4 linked regions of the Mus musculus genome follow. The protein of the gene in region 3 interacts with the protein of the main gene of each other region in a pairwise test. Links are inferred from orthologs where the notes say so. Each region holds a gene or a part of one and is shown on either strand. Other genes may lie near its edges. The genes, in order: Rassf5, Dcp1a, Smad4 and Pias1.

Evidence for each region.
Region 1: the proteins of Smad4 (region 3) and Rassf5 interact in binary tests that used the Homo sapiens proteins (3 or more experiments, as listed by UniProt). The link is inferred for Mus musculus from reciprocal best matches to the Homo sapiens genes SMAD4 and RASSF5.
Region 2: the proteins of Smad4 (region 3) and Dcp1a interact in binary tests that used the Homo sapiens proteins (3 or more experiments, as listed by UniProt). The link is inferred for Mus musculus from reciprocal best matches to the Homo sapiens genes SMAD4 and DCP1A.
Region 4: the proteins of Smad4 (region 3) and Pias1 interact in a two-hybrid assay, tested with the Homo sapiens proteins (2 studies listed by BioGRID and IntAct). The link is inferred for Mus musculus from reciprocal best matches to the Homo sapiens genes SMAD4 and PIAS1.

The regions. Positions count from the first base shown.
Region 1 is NC_000067.6:131,242,171-131,246,713, reverse strand, and holds the start of Rassf5 (ras association domain-containing protein 5), read left to right. Parts: upstream 1-1,535; 5' UTR 1,536-1,583; coding exon 1,584-2,025; intron 2,026-4,543. UniProt on the Homo sapiens protein: Potential tumor suppressor. Seems to be involved in lymphocyte adhesion by linking RAP1A activation upon T-cell receptor or chemokine stimulation to integrin activation.
Region 2 is NC_000080.6:30,520,950-30,524,808, forward strand, and holds part of Dcp1a (mRNA-decapping enzyme 1A), read left to right. Parts: intron 1-640; coding exon 641-706; intron 707-1,778; coding exon 1,779-1,997; intron 1,998-2,276; coding exon 2,277-2,357; 3' UTR 2,358-3,859. UniProt on the Homo sapiens protein: Necessary for the degradation of mRNAs, both in normal mRNA turnover and in nonsense-mediated mRNA decay. Removes the 7-methyl guanine cap structure from mRNA molecules, yielding a 5'-phosphorylated mRNA fragment and 7m-GDP.
Region 3 is NC_000084.6:73,700,641-73,705,260, reverse strand, and holds the start of Smad4 (mothers against decapentaplegic homolog 4), read left to right. Parts: upstream 1-1,469; 5' UTR 1,470-1,831; intron 1,832-4,620. UniProt on the Homo sapiens protein: In muscle physiology, plays a central role in the balance between atrophy and hypertrophy. When recruited by MSTN, promotes atrophy response via phosphorylated SMAD2/4.
Region 4 is NC_000075.6:62,977,921-62,982,421, reverse strand, and holds the start of Pias1 (E3 SUMO-protein ligase PIAS1), read left to right. Parts: upstream 1-1,542; 5' UTR 1,543-1,550; coding exon 1,551-1,574; intron 1,575-1,894; exon of another isoform or gene 1,895-1,908; intron 1,909-4,501. UniProt on the Homo sapiens protein: Functions as an E3-type small ubiquitin-like modifier (SUMO) ligase, stabilizing the interaction between UBE2I and the substrate, and as a SUMO-tethering factor. Catalyzes sumoylation of various proteins, such as CEBPB, MRE11, MTA1, PTK2 and PML.

The sequences.
Region 1 (4,543 bases), on a different chromosome or scaffold from region 3:
CAGGGAAGGCTGGGGATTCCCTGGTCACTGGACTTTTAGCCATTGCCTAAATTTACCTTCGAGAGGAAAAGTGAAAGTGAGGATTCCCCAGCCAGACACTAGGGGGAGACCCATCACTAGCCGGGAAAGAACCCTGGAGATTAAAATGTAGGCGAATTTATAGACAATTCCAGGTCTGGTTTCAGAATCCCCACACATTCTATACATACATTATTGCTCCCAATACTCTAACCTGAGGGTTCTCATCCCTTTTATAAGGTAGCTTGTGTGCAGAGAGAACCTATGCATTTTAACCCCGCCTATATTAAACACCGGTACTGTGAAAGTGTATATGAATCATTGCTATCCAGTATTATTTAATAAGTAAGGAGAAAGAGTGTGTACATGTTCACTATAGACATGCCCCTCCCCCAATATTTCTACCAGTGGTTTGTTGAGACCCAAAATACAGAATTTTTGAATTTGGTGCAGTGACTCTATTCCCATAGTTGCTTGCTGGTGGCTGCCACTAAATCAATCAAACCTGTAATTTAAGGGGGGCAGGGGGAGGCGGGAATGTGAGCTAGGCCTAAGTCAGAACCGCAGAACTGGAAAGAGCAAAGGCGCCTGCAGCTACAAAACCAGCCTGTAGAGGGCCCAGGACCCTTGCTAGCCTACGACCGACCGACCGGGCACAGGTTCGAAAATCCACAGTCCCACCTGTTCTCTATCCCTTGAGACGGCACTGTGGACAGGCCCACTAGTTATTACCATTACATAATTTTCAAGACCCAGTGCAAAAAGAATAGGCCGGGTTAAGAATTAGGATTTTCAAGATGGTGGCGACATAACCTTAAGCCAGACAGGAACCTATGGCGCACCCCTTGGTGCTGGTAGGATGCGGACTTCTCCACCCTGCGCCCCTGCTCAGGTGGACCTTCCATACCAAAGGAGGTGTGTAAGGGATTGGCATTCATTTCCGCAGTGATTACTCCAGCAACTAAGGGGGGAGGGGCGTAATTCGGGAGGAAAGTTCCTGTCCACCCATGGGGCACAGAGAGGTCTCTCATGATCACCGGATCACCAAGGATCACCAGTCACTCTAATCCCAGTCTTCGGGGAGGGGCAGTCTATGTAGCAGAGGTGAGAAGGGAGAGAGCTGATGTAGCCAGCTTCCCACGGGCAGCTCGGAGAATCCGCGGGCCGCCTTACTGACAGCGGCGGGCTAGCTCCTGTCCCGGGGCCACACCAGGTTGCCAAAGCCCTGCCTTCCCACCTGCTCCCCGCCCCGCCGGTGTTAGGGCGCCCTGGGAGACGCCCAGAGGGGACGGGGCAGAGCTGAAGACAGGCGCAGGAGCCGGCGCCTACCGAGCTCGCGAAGCCTCTCGGGTGCTCGGACCTTCACCACCGCCTAGTCGCCGAGTCACTCCTAAATCCACGCGGCTCCGACCCGCAGTCACGCGTGTTGCCCTTCCGGCCTCTCGGTGGGCTCCGCCCCGCCCCGCCCCGCCCGCGGGCTGCGGGCCCTTTAAAAGCGCGCTCGACCGGAGCCGCCCCTTCTGTTGGCCAGGCTCGGTAGCTGCCGCCGCCTGCGGGCCTTGGCCATGGCTTCCCCGGCCATCGGGCAACGTCCCTACCCGCTGCTCCTAGATCCCGAGCCGCCGCGGTATCTGCAGAGTCTGGGTGGCACCGAGCCGCCACCTCCCGCCCGGCCGCGCCGCTGCATCCCCACGGCCCTGATCCCCGCGGCCGGGGCGTCAGAGGATCGCGGTGGCAGGAGGAGTGGCCGGAGGGACCCCGAACCCACGCCCCGAGACTGCCGACACGCTCGCCCTGTCCGGCCCGGTCTGCAGCCGAGACTGCGGCTGCGACCTGGGTCACACCGACCCCGCGACGTGAGGAGCATCTTCGAGCAGCCGCAGGATCCCCGCGTCTTGGCCGAGAGAGGCGAGGGGCACCGTTTCGTGGAACTGGCGCTGCGGGGCGGTCCGGGCTGGTGTGACCTGTGCGGACGAGAGGTGCTGCGGCAGGCGCTGCGCTGCGCTAGTGAGTGAGGGCGGGGAAGGTGCGCGAGGTGAAGGGCTCTGAGCCCGGGAGAGGAGGCCATTGCCTTTTGTGGCCAGTCCGAACTTTTAGGCAGGTTACCTTTGGAGACAGCTGCTGTCACTGCCTGGCATCCTTTAATGGCTGCCCACTGACCAGAGGTAGTTGTATGTGTACAGTTACGTATCCTCAGACGGGTTTGAGCCTTCTCCCCCGTGCGCGTAAACAAGCTTGTTTGTAGGTTGGGACTGATGGCTCTCCACAAGGTCATTGTGTCTTACGCACACCCTCTTCTTCCTTTAGTTGTGAGTTTTAAAAATGAGGTAGTGATATTGACAACGAAGTGAGTATTTGACACTTATTAGGGTTAATGGGGAGATGACTCGGTGGTCACCTCAGGTTCTCTCAGGCTCTTCCTCCTAGGGAGCTGTTGGCATGGGAAGCCTGGTTAGGCTTTGAATGGAAGCAGGCTGTGAGGCTGAAAGATGCCAAGGTCACCTGCACCTGAGGCCTCCTCAGCCCTCCACACCTGGCTCAACGCTCTATACTCTGCTCCAGTGTGTGACTGTGCCTCGTGGCCTCCTCTTCCTCCTCCTGTCCCCCTGCACCCGCCTTCCAGCCCTAAAATCACTAAGCTCCCCGCCAGTTCCTTCCTTCCACAAGGCATCCCCACTGGCCTGCTGGCTTCTCCCAATCTTACTGTAACACTGGGCACCAGTATAGAGAGTTTCTGAGCAAGTCTGCGCTCTTTTTAGGGCTTATCATTACCTCTCGCCAATGGTGAGTCTGTATCCCTGTATAAGTCTCCTCCCCACCAACCCAGGGATCTGCTGTTGCCAGAGGATACTCATACCCGTGTGTTTACGTAGCTCCTTTGAACATATGAAGCACGCAGTGCAATGACAGCTTCCGGCAATCATCTGTGGACATGGATTACAGTCACATCTTTTGGTAAAGGGCCATCCTCTGTTGCCTCCTTCAGACTGCAACACTGGACAGCAGCAGCTAGCACTACTACCCTCACTCTAGCCCATAACAGCTCCCCCTCAGCCGCTCCAGAATATGTGAAAGGAAAAAGGGGGACTATTCTTCCTACCATGAGCATCCCCCATACAGGTGCCTGTTAAGGAGAAGGCTGGGCATGTAGAGTCCTGTGCACGGGCTGCTGTTCCTTGTAAATGCTGCTGACCTGCAGACGAATCCAGTGCAACTTACCTCTGGGCCCGCTGCTAGCTTTATCTCCCTCCGTGTTCCTGAGTGCTTTGCAGTACCCACTAGCCCTGGACACAGAGGATGAGGCAGTGGATTCACTGTTATGGATCTACTAAGGCTCAAATTCCAGAAGCTGCACTGTCTGTGAGAATATGCTTGTTGCAATTCCCGCTTGTTTAGACTTTGAGGGACTGTCAGCTTTACTCTGAGTTTGTGATATTCTTCTGGTTAGCAATGATGCTGTGTTGGCAGGATTCTGTGGGTATCTGTGCAGTACTCCATGACGAAATGAGCATCCTCATACCACATGAGAGTTGTTTATTTCCCTTGCTCCGTCCCTAAATAGTTTCCAGCACTTGGGAAATAGTGTCCTCCCTGCCGTTTCCTTCCACAAGGCATCCCCACTGGCCTGCGACTTGCTGAGGTCCTTTCACTTTCTTGGGTTCCTGTGGCCCCTGAGTAGTCGATTTCCTACCAGCCAGAGATGCCTGAACACCAAAGAGGCAGCAGAACTGAAGTCAGGAAGGCCACAGAAAGGAATCTCTGTTTGTTTGGTTTTTTTTAATATTTAACTAACCGTGAGTGTTCGGCTGACCAAGAGAAAGTTGAGACAGTTTTGGTGTGCAGGACAGACTCACCAGACATCTGGTGCTAAGCTGAGGTCTGGCTCTCTGAGAGGGTTTATTTGTTTTATTTTCATTTTTGAAAAGCATGGGTCAGAAAAGGATGTTTTAAAAGGTAATCCTGGAGCTGGGAAGAGGGGGGCAACTCAGTTGGCAAAGCAAGCATGAGGACCTGAACTGGATCCTTAGAACCCACATTTAAAATAAATAAATAAATAAAAGCAGGCATGGTAGCACATGCTTGTAACCTCAGTGCTGGACGGTGAGTGGAGACCGGCAGAGTCCTGTCTGGCCCTCACTGGCCAACCCTAGCTACTCGTACACATAGACACAGGCACACACGCACACCTCAAACTAGAACCAAAGTCCCGGCTTTGAATCCGAAATGTCACTTAGTCTCTGTGTGACCCCATGAATCTCTGTGTTGCCCTCACTTGTCTTTAAGAAGCGTGGATAATGATCTTATCTACAGCATCGTGTTAATGTGGGGATTCAGTGTAGTAATCATATACGTGTACGTTGATTAGAAAAGTGCCTGGCAGGGTACACAATGAACGTCCAATTAGATATAAGTGTGACCATTGTCTCCTCCCATTTAAGACCATTAATGGCTACCTGGGGCTCACTCTGCCACATAGCATAAGCATGGGGTACGGTTTTCAAGCTTTGTTTGGTGGTGGAGTTGG
Region 2 (3,859 bases), on a different chromosome or scaffold from region 3:
TCACACCTATAAAAACATAGTGAAGAAAGCTGAGGCAGAGGGGTCTCAAGTTAGAGACCAGCCTGAACAACCCAGGTCTCAAAACCAAACAACAAAAGGACCTTCTCTGTCTCTTACAGTATACTTAGGATGAAGGCTGTTTAGTGCCACTAACCAGACTCAGAGAACCTTTGAAGAGCTTGGGGCTGCGGACATAGTAGTCGAGCCACTTGCCTGTTTTATGCGAGGTCCTGAGTTCAGCTTTCAGTGCTGCAGGAGCAAATTCTTAATCATTTATATTGTACACATTCTGCTTGTGTATGATAGCTGCTTGAGAGGACTGAGGCAGGAAGAGTGCAAATTCAAGGAACCCTTAACCTCTATACAGAAACAAATCCCAGGACTGAGGATAGGGCTCACTAGTAGAGTTGACCCTGAGTTCAGTCGCTGTCACACTTTTCTTAGAGTCACCTGGCAGGTTCTGTCCACACATGCTCTCAAGAACCTCCACAGGAGCTGCTGCTGTCCGAGGCTCATTCACTGGGAGCATTACCAACAAGTTCCTCTCGGCTCTGAACCATTCCTTGATATTGCTCTGTCACATGCAACTAACTGAAGCTTGCTCTATCTCTTTCTCTGTTTTCCCCATTAAACATTTCAGTCTATGCAGCAAAACCAGGATCCTGAAGTATTTTCCCAGCCTAAGGTGTTACCCAGTGCCATCCCGGTAAGGATGCCCCCACCCCAAATTGTGTGTACCTGTGTGGAGGCCAGAGCTGGAACTGAGTGTCCACTTTATATATTAAATAGTCAGGGTCTCTGCTTGAGCCAAGCCAACTTACAGTCTCTACCCCCCTGTGCCTGGGCCACCATACCCATCCAGATGTCCTCACAAGACAACATAGTGCAGATGTAGCAGGCACTCAACCCACTTAGCCATTTCCCTAGCCCAGGGGGCCCCCCACCCCCAGAGATCACATTGAACACTTTTGGGTTCTATTGTTGTAAGATGGGTTCTTACTACCTCAGTGAAAAGCTGTAACATTCCAGCTCTGTCCTGTCTCAGATGCCCCTTCTGGGACAGAGTTGCTCTGCTTCTCGGCAAAATTCCTTGCTGTGGCTTAAGACCTTATGTTAACTCTGTATAGATGTCTTCTTGACTGTATAGAGGGTGTCAGGCACTGGGTGGGCCATGTGGATCATTTGTAAGTGGGTAGGTGCTGGGGCCTGTATCAACCTGGTCTCTCTAAGTAAGAGGTACTCCTTGACCTAGAAAGTGAAGAGTCCCAGGAGACAGGCACTGTCCTGCCACAATCCCTCACTTCTGATAGCAGAGCTCCTGAGCCTGCATACTTCACTCCTTCTTTCTCAAGCATCCGCCTTGTTATCCACCACTCCCCTTCATGCACCAACCTTGACAGACACAGTTCTCCATGGCACTTGCTCACCTGCTTATGAGCCTGTACCCCTCTCCTGGATTTTCAGAGGTTAGCCTTCTGTCTGCTTTAGGTTAGCCTGTCCTGTTGTGTGGCCATCAGTAGAAGTAACTAGCCCAGTTTTATACCAAAAAGCAAGCTAAGAGGGCTGGAGGGCTGGCTCTGTGGCTGCTGAGCGGCACCGATGCTCTTGCTTGGGGATCCAACACCCTCTTCTGGCTTCTATGGGTACCACACACACACACCATGGGCATACATGCTACCAAACCACCCATACACATAAAATAAAATCTTAAGGGAAGGGGGCAGGGTAAGCTAAGTGTCTCAGATAACAAAAGTGACTATTATTCTGTGTCCCGGCAGATTGCAGGCTCTCCATTGGTTCCTGCAACCACCACAGCAGTATCTTCAGTCCTGCTGTCCCCCAGTGTGTTCCAGCAAACGGTTCCCAGGGCCGCAGACCTAGAGAGGAAAGCCAGCTCCCCCTCTCCCCTCACTGTTGGGACAGCAGAGAGTCAGAGAAAGCCTTCCATTATCCTCAGCAAGTCTCAGCTCCAGGACACACTGATACACCTAATAAAGGTATGCAGGGTGTCAGCTTTGTCTTTAACTTTGTATCTTAACAAGGCTTAGTGTATATTGGTGCAAGTTCAGAAACCTGCCTTGGCAGTAGCCTCTTTCCCCAGGCATAGCCTCCTGGTGGAATAATGGCTGTAAACCTGGACTGTCATTGTAACTGCCTCTGGGGGCAGGTTACTTGGGGAATTAGTTCCCCCAATCAGTTCTGTGTTTTCCTAAGGGGTTAGCATGGGGTGAGTTCTGAGGAAGTAACAGGCAATGTTTCCTTGCCTTCTCTTCCAGAATGACTCCAGCTTCCTCAGTACGCTTCATGCAGTTTACTTGCAGGTTCTGACCAAGAACAAAGACAACCACAACCTATGACTGCAGTGAAGGCAATGTGAAGGGAGAGGGTCCGCCTCAAGACACGCAGGCTTCCTCATGGAACAGCTAAGCAGAGCATGGAGCTTGAGGAGCCTGAGAGCCTTGTCCGTAAGGATGTTTCCTAGAGACGTTCTCAGTGATGATGGAGGTTTCACTGTGCAGCATCACCAGCAAACCTTTGTTTGACAAAACAACAAGAGACCATTGTGTTGAGTGACGTGGGTGTTTTCATCAGCTACAAGCCAGTGGGTGGAATGAGGAGCCTGACTGCCGGCTTGCTTTCCAGGCCTCGGGAGGAGCCACCAGCCTTGCAGCAGAGCTCAGTGGAGCCCACGCCCTCCCTCCTCTACTCCTAGAAGAACTTAATGTCAGCTCACAGAGTAGCTTCAGGTTTTAAGGATCAGAATTTAAGTTGACTCTTTGGAAGGTATTTGTTCAAGTGAAGTATATTTTCTATGAGCACCCCGCTTGGGCCTTAAGACTTCTGGGATGTCTTTGTGTTCCGGTAAGTGTCCCTGGTCCTGCCCTGTGCAAACTCCGGTGAAGCACAGCTCTTGGGATAGGCCGGCTGGGCTCTGATGGAGGAGGCTTCACACCCTTGAAGCAGAGGCCGGGGCCACACAGATCCAGATCCTACCAGAAGGCTCCATTTTAGTGAACTCTCAGCAGTTTAAGTGTCAAGTTTGTGTGTGAAGCGCAGCCTTACTTTCCTTTTCTGTCTAAACACAGTTCAAGTTATTGTTGATTGTTTTCCTTAACACTTTGGCAAAAGGACCAGTGGACCATTCTGACAAAGCCATTCTGGTTCCATTCCTCAAATGTGCTGAGCAGTTTAAAGCTATGCAGAAAGGGAGCTGTGCTCACACTGCCTGCCTTCCTTCCTTCCTTAGTTGTAGACTCTGGAGTCAGAAAGCAAGTGTGAGACCTAGCACCTCACAGTATATCCTAGGCTGCGAGCTCTCTGGCCGCAGTCAGAACTGTAAAGATGCTTTGTGATGCTGCTATTGATCTGCCATGGTTTCTATTTATGCTTTTATGGCATGTAATGGTGTTTGGTAATATTTTAATGTAGAATTTGATTATTTCAGCAATAGTAATTTTGAGATATTCTTTGAATGAAAAGTGTCTTCGTTTCTATGATACAGGTCATTTTCTAGTATTTAACCAATTAATGCACTGCTTACTTTTCTGAGCACTATTTAATGATGGGTAAGAACCCAGTTGGCTCAACCAGCTAGCGTAAGGATTCGCTGTGAATAATGCTGACAGACGCAGCGGTCCCGCCGGGACAGTTGCTTAAGCTTTAATGGGAACTCAATCAAAGGCTCATCGATTCATTCTTTCTAGCTGAAGTTTTAGAAAATTACTTATTAATTACTTCTTTTACTTTGGTCTTAGTTTTTTAGCCTAAAGAACATTTTGATTGGCTTGTGCTGATCTCACCATGCTTCCTGGACAATGTTTCTGCTTCTAAGTTGAGTGTCTTCTCTTGTCTACCTAGT
Region 3 (4,620 bases):
AAGATCTTCCTTCAATCTTTAAAGTTGTATCCTTTGAGAGTGTCATACATGTATCTATACATTGTATATAGATCTTATCCACTCCAGGCTTTCTTACAACAGCTCCTGGACTCCCCCACTGGAATATCCTTTTCCTAACTTCATATCTCTCTCTCTCTCTCTTTTTATATATAACTCAATTTGTACTGCACCTATCAATTTTGATGACAATGAAGAATTGGATTTGTGAAGGAAATTCTACTATCGATTCATTTAAGTGATTTATTTTCTCATTGCAGACATCAACTTTTGAATTGTCCCTTTGGCTTACCCTGGGGGGGCAGTGTTACACATTGGTGTGTGTTGTAAAGTTTCTCCAACAGACTTAAGAAATGACTTGGTCTAACAGCTGTACTAGAAGGAACCCCGAGGGAAGGTGAAAAAGGAAACAAAAAGACAACATATAATTCATGTTTCCTAGACGTCTGAATAAATTTAAAGTTAGGGTCTGTCTATTTAGTCCTGGTTTGAAATTTGCCACGTAAATCCACCAGGCTGGAGCTCCTTCTGTCTCTGCTTCCCAAGGGCTAAGATTTACATGCATGGGCTGTGATTTAAAGCCAGGGACTATACGGCAGGCTTGTGTTCTAGCTACTAAGTACAATATTCATAAAATTATACAAGAAAGTAAGTACAAAGTCAAAATCAAAGACGGGCCTTTTGCCACCAAATGCACCACTTTTGTGGTGGGATGGACCCAGGGCTTTGTATATGGACAACAAATTTTGAACTGTCCCTTTACGTTGCCCTGAAAGTTTTAGATAGCGGACCACTTAAGTAATGAGAGGTAGTTTTGACTTGTTTTGTAAGGTGTGAAGTTCTGAAACTGAGCTTTCTTTACATCCCAGCCTGCACAACCTATTTAGCAGGTGTACACTTAAGCAAGTCTTGAAGGTCGCCTCCAACTCGAAATTCCCGCCTCTTTCCCAACTGCTCACGTTTGGCCACCTCGGGCTAGGCCCTGGAATGTGACTCCTTGACTGTCGCGCGCGCCTCCGAGCTCAACCTTTTGGAGCCGGTGTGATGAAAGGGACAGAGTGAGAGATCCGCTCGGAAGTAAACTGCTACAAACACCCGCACTCGGTCCAGCTGTGTCCACCAAGGTCTTCAAAAGCCAACCCAACCCGGCGGGCCTGCCCATCGCTCATCCCGAGCTGTCCCACGCTGCTTGGGTACTCTGTGAACCGCACTCCGTGTCTGAAGAGGGCATCCTGCGAAAAGGCGACTCCCCTCCGGCGCCGTTGCTCGCTCGCTGCTCAAACTCAGCCAGAGCCGCCGGGCTGCCCGCGGGCGCCTGCGCACTGGGACCCTCCCTGCTCTGGGCGGGAGGCGGGGGCAGCGGGGAGAAAGGAGCGCTGCGGGAGGGGAGCGGGGGAGGGAAGGGCCAAACCCTGAAATTACCCGGATGTGGTCTCCGCGCGCGCATGCTCAGTGTCCTTCCGACAAGTTGGCAGCAACAACACGGCCCTGGTCGTCGTCGCCGCTGCGGTAACGGAGCGGCTCGGGTGGCGGAGCCCGTGTTCGCGTCCGTCCGCCCGCCCGCCCGCCGTCCTCCGGAGGCCCTTCCCGCGCCGCGCTCCGCTCCGCGGCCGTCCCCGGGGCGGGAGCGCGTGACCGGAGCCGGCGCCCGCGAGCGAGGCCCCCCGCAGCGGGGCGGCTCCGGAGCTCCAGCGGCCCGGCCGGCCGGCGCGGTCCGCGGCGCGGCGGGGAGAGGGGGCCGCCTGGGCCGGACGCCGCGGGCGGGGCCCGGGAAGCGACAGCGAGGCGAGGCGCGGTGCGGCGCGGAGCCCAGGTAACGCGCGGTCCTCCCCTAACCGGGGCCTCGGCGCCCGCGCTTCCCCGCCCCGGGGCGGGCTCCCGCGGCGACCGGCGCGAGCGTGGGCCCAGCGGGGCTCGGGTGGGTCGCCCCCGCGCGTCCGGGGCTTCGCGTGCCCGCGCGTGGCTCCCGGGCCCCAACTCCTCTCGCAGTTAGGCGAGCCCGCCGTCCCGGGAACTCGGTCGCCGGTCCCCGTCCGTGCCGCCGCTCTTTGTTGTTCGGGAGGAGTTTGGCCGCGGCCCGGGCCGTCGCGTCGGCCCGGCCCGAGTGCGTTATGCCCGGGGTGCCCCGGGTCGGGTCCTCGTGCCTTCCCCACCTCCCCCACCCCCCAGCAAGTGTTTGTTTTCTCTTTGTCCCCACTTTCTCTTCCTGGTTGTGTGCTCTGAGTTTACGTTTGTAGCTTTGATTTGTTTACTTTTTGGGTATTGTGGGTGATGGCGGCGTGCGGGAGACACTCTTAGCGCCAAACTGAACCACCCTCCCCTAATAAAACGTGTCTCCTAATAAAAGGCGTAGTTTATTTTATTGTTAGGGCTACATGCACGGAGCGTGAAATTGGTGGAGGGTGGAGGGCGTTGGCTTCAGCACCCCAAACTGCTGTTATGATTTCTCAAGCCAGATTTTCAAAGACAAGGGCGTGTTTAGTTAACTTGAAAGGTTCCTTTGCCAGAGGTTTTAAAAAGCCCTGTTTATTGATAGCTCCTCCCCACTGCCCCACCCCACAAAACCTGGAGTAAACTTAATTTTTAAAGTTGGTTTTCAGGTAATTCATTTTAGAATTTATCAGTGCCTTCAGTTTCTGATAACTTAAGGTGGGATTGTCACTTACTTAGAAATAAAGTAACGAGATAAAGAGGGAGTTATTTTAAGTACCTTGAATTCGTGTTCTGCAGGCTTGTAATCTCGCTTAATTTTTTAACAATCGTTGAATTTTGCCAGATTTAGCATCCTTTTCCTCTCAGTAGTAGCTTGAGACTTTGAACGTTTTAAGAATCAGGTTCAGGACTTTCTGCTGACACAAACCGTGTGGAATCTTAACTGAATGTACAGAAATCTATTATAAATTCCACAAAGCAATTAGATTTCAAGCACCGCATTTGAATAGTTTTTGTTACAGATTTTACAGGTTTACCTTGCATTCAGGATATGAAGCGCTTGCAGTTGAAATGTATGTAGCATAGGCTATTCAGAGAAGTAAACTTCTCCCTACTGTAGACTCTATCTCTTGGATCTATCTGGTAGGATTAGTACGTGTTATTTCAGAGTGTAAATGATTGCTTTAATATTTCTTAAAATACAGTTTCTCCCTAATGCTTTGTTCAGTGTACTGTCATGAGTCTCTAGGGCTTCCTGCTCCTCTCTTCAACTCCTGACCATCCGTGTCTCTCAGCTTCTCCGGAGCTGGGATACAAAATTGCGACACGGTGCTCATAGGCTCAGGAGTGTGTTTTCTTCAGTGACCTGGTTACAAACATGCACCGAGGCAGACTAATACCCATAGCCTGAAGCAGCTTCTGATGTGATGAATTATGTAGGCTTCAATTGCCGGAATTAAAACAAATCCTTTCCAAAGAGAATTGACATAAAGGTTTTTAGTTTTTTGTCACTGTCTTAAGACAGGTGGCTTTTTTTTTTTTTTTTTTTTTTTTGCTTTCTAGGCTTTTGAGTGAGTATGCATTAAAGGGGTATTACATATTTTTGTTTTTGAAGATGTAGTTGACACTTTTGGACTAAATGCTTCCACTGTAAATCTTAAGTTGGGAAGAATTAAAATTGTGTTTACAGAATTAAGGAAAATTTGTGCTAAACAAGTCAGTGCAGTGATTTGGCGTGTGTTTTATATGGACCTGAACTTCCCTGATGGTTTTGCTCTTGAAATAGTTCTGATTATATGAGTTGTACAGATCTTGCTCTTTCTTTAAGGTCATTTTCATGTATGCTACATGTTAATTCAAGTGTTTCTGTTGGTGAGTTTTGTCTCTGGATTCTCTGCTTCACACACACGGGGGAGGGGCCGTATTAATGGTGGAATAGTAAAATACTTTATGCAGGATCCCCCCCCCCCCCCCCCCCCGTTAGAACCTGTTTTTTTATTTTTCTAACTGAGCCAGAGTTATAGTAACATTGGCACACACTATTCTAATTGAGCTGTGCATAGCTGGGGCCTGTACCAGGGCAGTTAACCCTGCAGAGTCTGCAGAGTTGGTTAAATCTAAAGTGCATATTTGGGCTTCTTTAAAATTTGATCTCTAGATGAGAGCACAATCCTTTTTTTTTTCTTTTTTGTTTTTGATGAAATATTACCTACTTCAGTTCTATTTTGTCCCCCATCTAGTTGATGCCTAGGTTTTTGTTTTTCTTTTCATTTTTGATTCACCCAGAATGAGTGTCTCTTTATAAGCATCTTGTAATAGCTTTCTCAGTGCTTCCTTGTGGTTGGATACCCCGGCCCTCCACTGTGCTGGGTTAAAGCCGTGAGGAGGACTGACTCAGGTGGTCCTCAGTCAGGTATACAGCTAACCCGACTAAAGGCTGTCATTGTTTCTGTGCTAAGTGGAAGCTGAAGTTAGAGCGGATGTCACATTTAGTACCGCTTTCTCAGATTACTTAGTTCTTTCCCCCATCTGCTGATTAAGATTCACTTAAGGTAGACATTCAGATAACTGATAAATATGTATAGATAGCATGCATATGAGCTACTTCTGTTATGATACTGTAATATCCTCAGCTCATGCTAATGAGGCACATTTAGAGTTGTTGGATTT
Region 4 (4,501 bases), on a different chromosome or scaffold from region 3:
GAATAGTGAGACTCAGGAGAGAAAAAGGGTGGAGGGCGGAAAGGAGGGAGAGAGACGAGGAGAGAGGAATAGGGGTGGGGGTGGGGAAGCTACCTAGTAAAGAGACAGGAATGGAATGTTGGGACAGTGGCAGTGATGTGGAGGAAAGTTCAAGAACTCTGTTTCCAGAGAAAGCAATCACATCAACTGTTAGCAGTTCCCTCTAGGCAATTGAGGTAAGCCCTGGGAACTGAGAGTGGGCTTCGAAAAGGTGTAGATGAGAGCTCAAGATAGGGCAGGCAGTGGAGCTGCCTCAGGATAGGTTTGGAGGTAATGCCACTGAAGAAATGGGAACAAGTACTTGTAGAAAAATGAAGTCTTGTTTGTGAATTTATTCAGTGAAGAAAGCGGAGAAATAGAGTACCCATTGAAGGTAATTTTGGATCCAGAGGAAGCATAAATTTAAGTAAGGAATTTTGGTTATGTTTATATGCTGATGAAAATGATTCCTTGAAGAAAGGGGGTTGGAACTATAAAGATACTGGAGTAAAACATGTGGGCATGTGGGAGTGAAATAATCCAGGTCACTGGTCAGGACCTGGCCTTCTTGAATTCAGAGTAACCCAAATGTTAAGAGGATTTTGATAGTAAAAAGTTGATCAGTTAAAAAAGGCTGGGGTTTTGAAGGAAGCTTTTAGTAGATAGGAGTAAGTCTAAATATCAATGTAGGTGAAGAAAACCCTTCTGGGATTAAGCACACCCCACCCCCCCCAATCCATTTTTCTCTTGGTGAGCCTTTTAATCTCTATGCTGTTCATCACCATTAGTAATTATATCTTAATAGTTCACAGATCTGTACCCCATGAGCGACAGGTCAGGGATCTTCTCTAATTTCTGACTACCCAGGGTGACGCGATGAATAAATGTCTTCAGAATTTGCCTTAGCTACTACTGTTAAATGCTGTTTAGGAGAGTCCCTTTTTCCCCTCAGAGCTTTTATTTCGGAAAAGATACCATGGGAATGATATATATATATATATATATATTTTTTTTTTTTTTTCTTTTTTGGCCTAACTGCCTCATCATGAGGATCTGCGTAAACCCAGAAACGCTTCGTCAAATTCTCCTTAGACAAAACTGACTAATTGGCTAGTTGTGATCGACCGGCAGCTGGGTAGGGTACAGGTGCAGAACGCATCTTGCGCATGGGGGCGCGCCGTGGCTTCAGTCAACTGGGGCTCAGAGGGCAGCCGAAGGATGAGACTGAGGCCAACACCTCCCCAGATGTGGCCTCTTCCCTGGGCGCTACTGGCTCGGCCAGTGTGGGGGCGGGGAGGCCGAGGGGGTAGTAACTGTCAAACTCCCGCTTGGCGCCATTATTTAAATAGTGCGTGTGGGTCTCGCAGCTGTGCGTGCCCGGGGCGGGGCAGCGAGCTCCTGGAGTGGGGCGGAGGCCAGGGGCGGAGCGGGAAGGCTGAGGGGCGGGGTGGAGGCGGAGTCAAGTCCGCTAGAGGGGAGGTTCCAGCGCGGCCCCCGGCGAGCTTCATTGCGCTTGCGCTGACAGACGCAAGATGGCGGACAGTGCGGAACTAAAGGTAAAGCGCAGCTCGAATTCACTTCTAATATTCGGCCGCGGAGACGGCGCCGCGGCTGCCGGGGGGATGGGTCGGACCCTGGGGGGCCCGCTCGGGCCGGGCTCCACCCGAGTCTGGAGTTGTAGGCGGGAGAGGCGCTCCGGGCCTTAGTGGAGGGGGCCTGGCTGCGGCGGGCCGTGGGCCCCGGGTGCCTCGGGGGCGCTGACGGGTCGTCCCCGGCGTGTTATTGTTGTGGGCGCCTCTGGCGGGGGTGGCGGGGCGAAGAGAGAGTGAGTCGGGACGTGGCGGCAGCGGCGGTCCCCGGGGCCTGGGTGCCTTACCTTGCAGCCCGCCTCCCCCCCCCCCCCCCATGGGCAGCCAGGGGGTGGGGGGGTGTAGGCTGCTCTGGGAAGAGGGGGATCGGGAAAACTGCCCCGCTGCCGCTTCCTCTTCCTCTTTCGCCGTCCCGGGCTCCTGTCAGGCGCAGCGCTCGGACCCCCGGGAACTTGGCTCCGGCCGCCCCGCCCCTCCGCGGCGCCCAGGCGCCCCCGCCTCGCTTGCCGCCGCTGCCCGCCCGCCTGTCAATGGGTGCCCGGCCAGAGGGAATGCGCGATCCCGGGGCAATCGGCTAGGGAATACGAGGGAGAAGCTCTTGGAAAGTTTAGCGAGCCCGGAGCCGGCGTTGGGGGTTCGGCTAAAGGGTTGCAGGGGGAGTCTGCCCGGGCGGGACGTTACTGTTTCTCTCTTGATTTCGGGCCACCGGGGAGGGTGTGTGTGTGGTGGTGGGGAGCAACCCATTGAAAGAGTGTGCTTTTGGGAGCGGTGGTGGGGATGCAGCCACCTCTCTGCACTCTTGCTGTCTCTGGTGTGGCAGATGAGAGCAGCCTTGGGGGTCTCTAAACACACCATGATGGCGATGCTATAGCTGATGGAGGTGAATGGTTCGTGTTTATATCCCCCGTTGCCTTTTGTTTGTTAGGGACATCTTGCTGGCCATGTTGATTTAAACGAAATTCTCCTCCCACCCACCCCCCATCCCACCCCAACCTCCAATAAATAGAACGTTCCATCGTTCCTCTCAACTGTACCAATTACTCATGCCTCGCGAAATTAGATGAAAGGGTGCCCCCTTTCCCCCGCTTTTTCTCCCACCCCAATCTTTACCTGATGATGGCTCCTTTACTGAAGCACATATACCACTACACAAGCAGTTGGGGGAGGGCTGGTGGAACCCTTATGATTGGATTGTGACAAATGGGTCTCTGCTTGAATAATTCTGGTTTAGTAGCAGGCAGGCAGTTCTTAACTAACGCATATTATTTAGAGGCTCTGAACATGGTATTCCCTTCTCTGGCTTCCTGTGTGCGAACCAAACAGCTGGTTATAGCACATCTCTGTCAGAGTGGAGATTGGGCTATGCAATTATAAATCCTCAGGGAGATTTAGAAATTCTTTTTATAATCAATAAAAAAAATTATTATTTTCCCCATTATAATGAAATAACTTCTAAAACAAGCAGACCACTACCTGTGTTTCTGGACACTTTTCTTTCCGTGCACCTGTGTGTGTGTGTGTGTGTGTGTGTGTGTAAAAGCCTCACTGGAAGATCTTTTTTTCCTTAGTAACTTTGGAGTGTTAACATATCAAGATTTTTGTACAAGATTTGGGTATTTGTTTTTTTTAAGTTTACTTCTAATTACTAACTTGTTTAAGACAGAAAATCTTAATGGATAGCGCCCCCCCCCCCTTTTTTTTTAAGACAGAGGTTTGCTATGTTGCTGAGGTTGGTCTGGAACTCACTGTGTAGACAGACCATACAGGCTTTAAACTTCAGGGATCCTCTAGCCTCTGCCTCCTTAGTGCTAGGATTAAAGGGATTAAAGGCATTCACCACCATTCCTGACTTGGATAGTTTTTTTTATCCCAATTTCAGACTATTGATTTCACCAAGAAAGCCTCTGAAATTTAACATTTTGGAGACAACCACCTTGCATAAAAACAAACGAACAAAAAACCCCAGAGCTCAAGTATGTGTATTTTATGTAATTATTTTTCTGTCACTATGTTACTGTCATCTTTTATTTTTGATTTTGTTTTGAGGCAGGGTTTCTCTCTGTGTAGCCCTGGCTGTCCTGGAACTCACTCTATAGAACAGACTGGCCTCAAACTCAGAACTCAGAGATCTGCCTGCCTCCTGCTTCCCAAGTGCTGGGATTAAAAGCATGTGCCACCCCCATCCTCTTCAGAGTTGCTGCTGTCTTATCTTTGCTTCCTAATACTTTTTAGGAGTCAATTTGAAAAATAGCTGGCCAAGTTTTTTATACATGGACCATGTAGTAAGGCTTGAAAACCATATGGGAAAAGTACCTGCAAAGAACAGAGTACCTTTGTTGTTTCTATTTTAAGAAAGTGCCTTCGGGGCCAGGCATAGTGGCCCCATACCTTTAATCCCAGCCTTTGGGAGGCAGAGGCAGGTGAATCTCTTTTTGAGGATCAGCTGATCTACAGAGTGAGTTCCAGGATAGGCAGAGCTACTTAGTAAGATCATGTCTTGATAAAATAAAGAAATAGAATAAAGAAAAAGGAAAAAGAAAGAAGAGTGCCTTTGGGGATAGATGAGATTCCTGGTGTGAGTCTTGTTAGGTAAAGTTTACTCTTTACAGAAATGAGTCAGTATCACACAGACTCTGAACACTTAATGGAAATGGTATTTTTCTAAAACTGGTCTCCATTTTTTCACCCTCTCTAAAAGCTACTTGAAATTTCCAGAGGGTTTGTTTTCCACTCTTATGTTTCTGTTGTATAATTTTTCAAATTATAATAAGTGTTTTGACACATTGGTGTGTCATTGTGTGTGCCTGAGACTTAAAGGAGCTGTGATAGATTACTTAGCTGGTGATAGCTGTGGTAAAAGTCCTGCTAAGGCTTCATTGTGGTATTGCTGCTTT